Drosophila melanogaster: one gene and its partner. The gene in region 1 interacts genetically with each later gene. Each region holds a gene or a part of one and is shown on either strand. Other genes may lie near its edges.

The links.
Region 2: of flz (region 1) and ich, changing one suppresses a phenotype caused by changing the other (phenotypic suppression), as found in Drosophila melanogaster (one study listed by BioGRID).

Annotation. Positions count from the first base shown.
Region 1 is NT_033778.4:8,983,271-8,987,201, reverse strand, and holds the start of flz (filzig), read left to right. Parts: upstream 1-1,626; 5' UTR 1,627-2,043; coding exon 2,044-2,275; intron 2,276-3,931. UniProt on the Drosophila melanogaster protein: Probable endopeptidase. In tracheal terminal cells, acts downstream of ich to regulate seamless tube growth and/or maintenance probably by processing lumenal matrix proteins.
Region 2 is NT_033777.3:8,960,736-8,964,666, reverse strand, and holds the start of ich (ichor), read left to right. Parts: upstream 1-1,629; 5' UTR 1,630-2,368; intron 2,369-2,578; exon of another isoform or gene 2,579-2,718; intron 2,719-3,931. UniProt on the Drosophila melanogaster protein: Transcriptional activator. In tracheal terminal cells, regulates the transcription of factors involved in the formation of a mature apical extracellular matrix (aECM) which is essential for the integrity and shape of seamless tubes.

The DNA of each region.
Region 1 (3,931 bases):
CGAATCAGTTGGTGTCCATGGCTCTCACTGCGTTTTCCATTTCGATGGTCTGACCACGGGAAAATAAACAAAAAAAACAAACCGAGAAATGCACAGAAAAAATATACATACAGAAAAACATTAAGTGGACAGAAAAAACGGCGAGCGGCGACAACAATAACGAAAGTGAAATTCTACAAAGATCGTGATGGCGGAGCGGCGTCCACGCTTGGGCAGCCACCAGTGCCATGCCAGCCTGGTCAGGCGTTTACCCCCGACATTGTAGTGCCGACCAGGCCACGTCAGGCCCAGCCAAGAAAGCCAAACAATAACAAACCGCTGTGGCCGCCGGATTTTCCAGCCGCTTTGTGTCTCATGTGCGCGCAGTGAAATTTGGGTCAAGGAAATGCCAATCGACAGGTTGCACCTCCTCCTGGCCGCCAGTGGATGCATGGTCACCGTGGCCACATGGCCAGTTGGACAAATAGTTAGATGACCGTTATTAGCCACTAACTTTTGCCGGTGTTTTGCAGGCCACAAATTGCCTGGCTCGCAGGGGGAATAACCTCAGTTGACCCACTGCGTGCCAATGCAATTTTCATGGATCTCATTTCGTACTTTCAATGCTCACAACTAGGAGTTCAGCATTGTCTGTTTATGGTTATGTATCAATGGCTTAACTTAAGTACTATATAATAGCGATAGAGTCCATGATAATATCTTCGATAATATGCACTTCACTAATTTATTAACGGCTTCGCAGCAACTTTATAACATTACATCAATTTTATTTATGTAACTAAAGATACAACTTCTTGAGCTTGTTAAAGGCTTACTGTTCTATTTTTTTTAAACACAGCATGTATACTTTAAAATGTCAATTTAGGAATGGCTAATCTAGAATGTATTATGTTTTAATTAATTGCAAATTTCGGACATGCCAATGTTAGATTTATTAAATAATATTATTATTATTGCATTATTATAAATAATGTCCTTTAAGAAGTAATCTTTGAAAATCATTAAAAAGCTTGAATTAACTTGAATTTACATTAAAATGCTTAATTTAGTTTAAATCAATTTATTAAAATCCATTCATTAGATAAGCAATGGCTTTGATCTTTGGTCACAAGGATCGCTGCAGACGAAAGCTGCAGCGTTTTTCTAGGGTCAACATCAGCATCAACATCAGCGCCAGCATTAGCGACAGCATCAGCGGCAGCATCAGCGGCAATCGCATCTTGCTGCGGCAACATCGAGCGACACTGTTAAGTCGGTCGGCGCAGCGCTCTTAACCGCAAGGCCGTGCTGTAAACCGATTCAGTTGGGTTTGAGGCGCGCACGCGTACGGACGCCGAGAGAAAGAGCAGCGACTGGGCGAAAGAAAGCAGGCGGAGAAAACAGGAATCGCTGATCGGTGGCAAAGGCAGCAATAGCAGCAGCAGCAGAAGCGGCTGAAGAAGAAGCCGAGCAGACGCCGAATTAGAAATGTTTACCATTTAAGCGACGCCTAATGGAAATACTCTCACGTACCGCACCGCTCTCGGCTCTCTTGAAAACGCGCTCTCCCGCGTTAAAGTGAAAGTTTTCCCCACAAAAGTGGCGAAGGTCCGTTATCTTGGCCGCTGTTCGGGCCAACTCGCAATCAGTCAGTCAGACACACGCGGAGCGTTCAGTCGACCGGACGCATGGTCGCTGATACAAGATACAAGATACACGATATAGATACCCGATACCCAGATACTATATATGTGGTGCAGTGTGTTAGTGTTTTGGTGCGAGCAACTGTAAATTCGCAGCTGACCAAAGAAAGTGCGGTCGTCGCAATAAAACCGAATTAAATTCAATCGAAATCGGAATCGGATCCACACAGTTACAACTCAATTCGCGTTCGTCGCCTAAGTCTTTCGTTCAGCGCGCTTCGCTGCCACGCTGTTTTCGCACTCACGCCCGATTTTCGGTGGCAATTTCGAAACAAGCAGGGCGCATATCACTATCACAACGAGCTGCCAGACGGTCTAGGCCAAGAACTCCCCGCAGGTGTCCGGCAGTCCAGCAGCAAACATGTTTAAGTGGGTTACGCCGGCCTCAACGGCGACGTTGTCCCGCTGCACACTGCCAGCAACAACAGCAGCCACAACAACAACAACGGCGATGGCAGCAACGAGAACAGCAACGACAACGACGAGAACAACAAGACCACAACTACTTTCCATCGCTTTAACAAGTTTAATAATAATAGTCGCATCATTTGTGCCGACAACAAGTGGATTTAGATCAATTGAAACGAATGGCGGTAAGTGACAGACCATTTAGCTCATTGACTTGCCTGCGCAATGATCCATCGATCCGATGAAAGGCCGCGTTGAGAAGAAAGTTTAGCACACAATAAAATGTAGAATTAAGGCAAAGAAAATCAATTTGCCAAATTGCAAGCTCATGTCGCTGCAAATCGAATCGTGTCAGTGGCTTTTGCTGCCTCACTTTGGTTCACTTTGGCTCACTTAGCCATCGCATCCCATCCCCACCAACGGGGGCTTTCACTCAATGCCTCGGCCTGGCCAAGTTGACAATGCTCGTGGCAAAAAAAGCACAAAACTATGCCTTTGTGTCAATAAATGAATCAGAAAAACTTTGGCACAGAAAACTGCGGCTGTAGATGGTGCTCTTCGAGTGACTTTCCACACTCCACGCACTTGGCAATTATTTGGTTCGTTTTATGCTACATTACGGCCACAAAAGACCTCGGAGATGTTAGGCACAGCCGTCGACTTTCCTTGTGACAGTTTTTACTGTCTTTCGAGTGTTTAGTGCTGCCTCTCAGCATCCCATTGCCGTTAATTGTCGAGGTCATTTGGCTGATTTAAAAAGTGAAACAAATTTCTAGAGTACCTGGTTATTAGTTCGATTCGGATTCGGATTCGACAACAGCCTGAGCCCATTCAATTCAGATTGAGCCCAAGTGCCGGCTAACAAAAGAGTCGAGGTGCAAACTCAATAAAAAGCCAAACACAATCACAATCAAAGGGGGGAAACAAACCATTCGTGATAATCGTCAGTCGGCAGTACCTCTATGTAGCACGAAAAAAAGGAACAAAACTCTTTTATATGTGAAATTTCACACACCATTTTCATTTCTTTAAGATCGTTAAAATGGTGAAAACACTCATAAGTACGTTGTTAAGATATTATGGCTGTAGGGAAAACATTATAAAGCTGAAAGCATATATACCCCTGTTTAATCAATACTTTCCTCAAGTTCAAAGCCCTTACAAAGTGAATCTTTGTTTATACAGCTTACGCTGCAAAATTTGCAGACAATCTTTACAAGTCCTTTGATACGTTGATACCCTTTTACAAACACCTCTTTAAAAAAAAAAAACTGTCTAGCCTTCGAAGTTTATTGTACCCTTCAAATTAAAAGCGAAAATGAATATTTGCATTTTGATTCAAATAGAAACCGATTACATTACAGAAATGTGTAAGACACTTTAGGCATTTAAAAATGTATACAAAGTTTGGGTACCAAGCATATTTACTTTTCTAATCGTCAGTCGACCGAAGTTAGGTCCCACAACAATAATGGCTTCTTGGGATGCAGTGTCTTTTCTTCGAGGCGTTTTCCCAACGATTCTCTTTGTTCCCCTGCCCGACTCTTCCGACTTAGCTTACCCCATCTGAAAGGTTTGGGAAAACCTAGGGAAACCCATGAGGAGAAAATCAATACTTCCGCTGGTCAGCCAGCAATCGCAGAACTGTGCTGCGTCAGCGAGGTGGAAGTCGGCAAATGCCAATCATCGGCCACATACACACCTGATCATTAGTACGAAACACGTAAAACAATTTTCAATTTCTATTCAGGCGCGTTGTTTGCATAGAAAGAAAACCAGGAAAGCAGTTCAGGAAAAACGCGTGCGAAATGAAAATGTCTTGGCCAGTGGCCGTAGTAGTT
Region 2 (3,931 bases), on another chromosome or scaffold:
ACCTTCCCTTCCAAGTAGGCGACAAAGTTCAAGACAATCCCAAGATAAATTTTTATTAACTTCCATGAGTCACGCATGGAAAGAAAACAAAAATATTTGATATGAAAAAAAATTGCCCAGCATGCATATGAAATACTTTTGCGAAATAAAAAACGCAAGTTAATTCCAGCGAAGAAAAATCAGACATCACAAATACAGACTATGACTGTGGTCCCAAAAGGGGGAAGAAGATGTGCCGGCAGATGAAAAACAAATCATGAGGCATGAACATGACCAACAATCCAGACGGATACAGCGGAGGCGGCGGGGAAAGTACCCATATCAACCAAGTCCGTAGTGACGCAGTTGCATTTTGGTCAACACGATGATGAGGCAGGCGGCTCTTGTTTATGCTAATGCCAGTGCCAACCAACAGAGATACTAACTTCCATATGGGATTGGTAGTACCAAGTGGCGACCTGTCAAATACCCTGTTAGTCGTCCAATAGTTTGTCATATTCACCACGATCGAACTAACAACTTTCATATATAAATGTTTTGTACAAATAACTTATAATTAGAAATTAATATATTGAAACGATAAAGGGTCTTAAAATATAATACTTCCAATTTGACAGGGTATTGAATCAACAAATAAAATCACAGCAACTGCTGTTGTTGTAAAAAAGTCGTGAGCAAAAACACAAAAATCCACACAAAACTTTGCAACCTGTGAGCGCTGCTCGGAGCTTTCATTTTCGAAGCGATACCGTTAACTGCACAGGCACTGCTAAAACAACAACAACAATATTAGCAGCAGTGGCTGTGACAGCAATAACAACAGTCAGGCTAAAGAACAACAATGGCAAGTGCCAAGTGCAGACGCTGCTGAATAGCATATATATTATATATGAAATAAAAAATATATTTTTTGGTTAAGAAATATATTAAATTCTACAAATGTATTTTGAATAGAAATTAATAAACAAGTGTGGTAATAAAAATTGAACATTTCTTGGGCAAAATATACGTTGGCAACATGTTGCTGGCCCGGCAAACTGTAAATTGCTGGCAACATGTTTATAAGGCGGAATAACAGGAAAAAATGTTTAAATTTTTACTAAGTAGGTCAAGTTGCATGGCAGCTTCAAACAGGTATGAGCATGAAGCGCAAATGAAATTTAAGAAAAAAAATGTTAAGATACGTTAAAAAGTGTTAAGATACGATTCAGATTACAATAGAATAAAACTATGAAATAGGTTCCACTTAAAAATTAATTATTTGCGAAAGTTTCCGAAATTAATCGATGTGACTGAAATAAAACAACTTTTAAACACTAAAATCTAATATTTCATACACTGGGCTAAATATATTTACAACTGTAAGACATTACAAGTAACATGGCAATTGATATTATTTCAAAAATCCCAAAAATCTGCCGCTTTTGCCGAGATTTAAGAAACATAAACAAACTTAGCCCTGACTTTGAACTCACGTTGGAGCCGAGGTCTGCGCTTCGAACATGTTGCGATGCTCTCCGGCGCTCCGCTCCGACTCGGACCCGAACGTGATTTGTATCTTTGTATCTGCGCCAGCGTCGACGTCGCCGTCGCCGTTGGCTCGGAAATTTCTTTTCGTGTTGCGCCTGCGCACAGTTGGCTTTCTACCGTTGACGTCTGCGGATTTGTGCGCACCCAGTGTCTGCGTTCTTTCGCGGTTCGGTTCGATTTGATTGTGGACGTGGACTTCTTCCACCTCTTCGCAGACATCCACACAGATAGAGATACAGATACAGCTACAGATACAGTGGCGAACATGTGAAGTGGCAATAATCGAAAGAGCAAGCAACAGAAATTAGAACAAACGCACAGCGAAAATACAAAAGAAATAAGAATCGCAAAAGAAGTGAACAAAAACGTAAAATTTTAATTGAGCTAAAATGCGGCTAATAAATTGTGAAAATGGTTGACAAAGAGTTAAAGAAATTGTCAAATACATTACAAATCCAACTACGAAAATCCCCAACAAAGTGCTAAAAGTGAACAAAAACAGTGCAATAAAAAGGAAATACGCTAAAGAAAAAGTTAAAAATCAAAACAAAACATACGAAATACACATGCAAAATACTTCTAAAAACGCTGTTGTAAATATTTTAACCCGGAAATCGTTGAATTGGTTCATTGTACATACTGCAAAAAGTCAGATACCAAGAAAACCAAGAATATTGGAAAGCAATCTAAATTAAACCACTATCCACTACGGAACTATCATCCCAGATTGCAGTGCTGCAATTCATATCTATATCCCACACATAATAAACAATCTACTCGTACTACTACCCGTTCATTATTTTTTGCATAGTTTTTATGTCTTCCTCCCATTGTTTTTGTGAGTATACAAAAATATTATTTTTATTTTTTACCCTCCTCATTTAAACTTTCGGTGTTGGACTTTTATTATTTATCCACTTTTGGTGTTTTATATTTTGCTCACTTCCTCTATCTTAAATGCTTTGAATTCAATCTGCAAAAAAAATCATCAAAAACTAATATATATAAATGATAACCTAATAAGGATTTTTAAATTACAACTCCCAAGGATTATTATATAATTGAAAACGGATTACCGCAAAACAAAACTTAAACAGAAAGCTCCAGAAACATCTGACACAGAACGTTGATAAATTTTTGAGTATATTTTTCAAAATGTCTATTAGCTGAAGCTGCAATTTCGTAACAGTAAGTAAACAAAGAATGTTCTACCCCAATATACCAAAGCCAGTGCAAAACCAAACAAATCGAAATTCCTCAAGTCAACGGCCCCGCAAATAAGAAGAATATTCTCAATTCTGGCTTATAAACAAATCAGGCAAAAGTCATTGACCGAAATCGTTTCCGATATGTTCGTATATTACTCACCTGTTATGAAATACAAATAGACGGCCTTTAGACAGGCAGGTGGAACGTGAGGGGGGTGGGGGATTGGATTTGGTATCCGTAGGGCTCCACTTATGACAATTGTGAAATTCACATCCCACTAATGGGCAGTGACAAGGCATCCCGGGATGGATACAATGCTAATTAGAAGTGGGAACGGATTTTGGCGCTGAGTTCTTTTTTTTTTTTTGAGGTGAAGAAACTATTGCAGAAAAATGTTCTCGTTAGCCTAACTAGCTAGCTAATATACTAAATTCTTGGCTAGAAGCAGCCTTAGTAATTAAATTCAATGTTGTAAATGTGCTAAATTTGAGTTTTTATAGGTCTGGATTGTTCCATGCCATTTAGGTGAATAACCACAATGTGATCTCATTATAAAGATATGTTTAAGATTTATTTATTCTTTTCGTAAACAATGAAATTTTATGCTAAAGGTAACTTTAGGAAACTAAAAGAACTTCTGCATGTTTGAATATTTTCTATTATTAGAAAACATAAAGAAATTATATTATTATATTCCCAATCTTCAAAAATTCCTCAAACAAACATCTTTAGTTGATCGGATTTTACACTTAATTCAATCTTCCCACGTGACGTATGCGCAATGTGCAGCCAAAAATTCACAAGCTGGAAAATATAATGATTCCAAAACAATTAAACGTCTTTAGGCGACCTCAAAACGAACTTCAACTTGCCCGCTGCAGTCGGAAGTAAGAAGTAGTGCTCCTCTTCTTCTCTCTTCGTTTTACAGCTAGCACTTAAGCGTTTTTTTATATTTTTCGGTAAAAGGGAAGGGGAAGTTTTGGTGGGTCGCGAAGGGGAAAGGGTGGCTACTGTTGCCAAGCCGTTGGACGGGCTAAAAATAAACCATAAAACCGTTTGTTTGTCTGACAAAAATGGTCTAAAATACAACAACAATCGGCTGGTAAGAACGGAATGGCAATGCCAGCCAAAAAAAAAAATTAAAAAACTCCAGCAACAATGGCAACAACAACAGTAGCGGCTGTTTGTACCG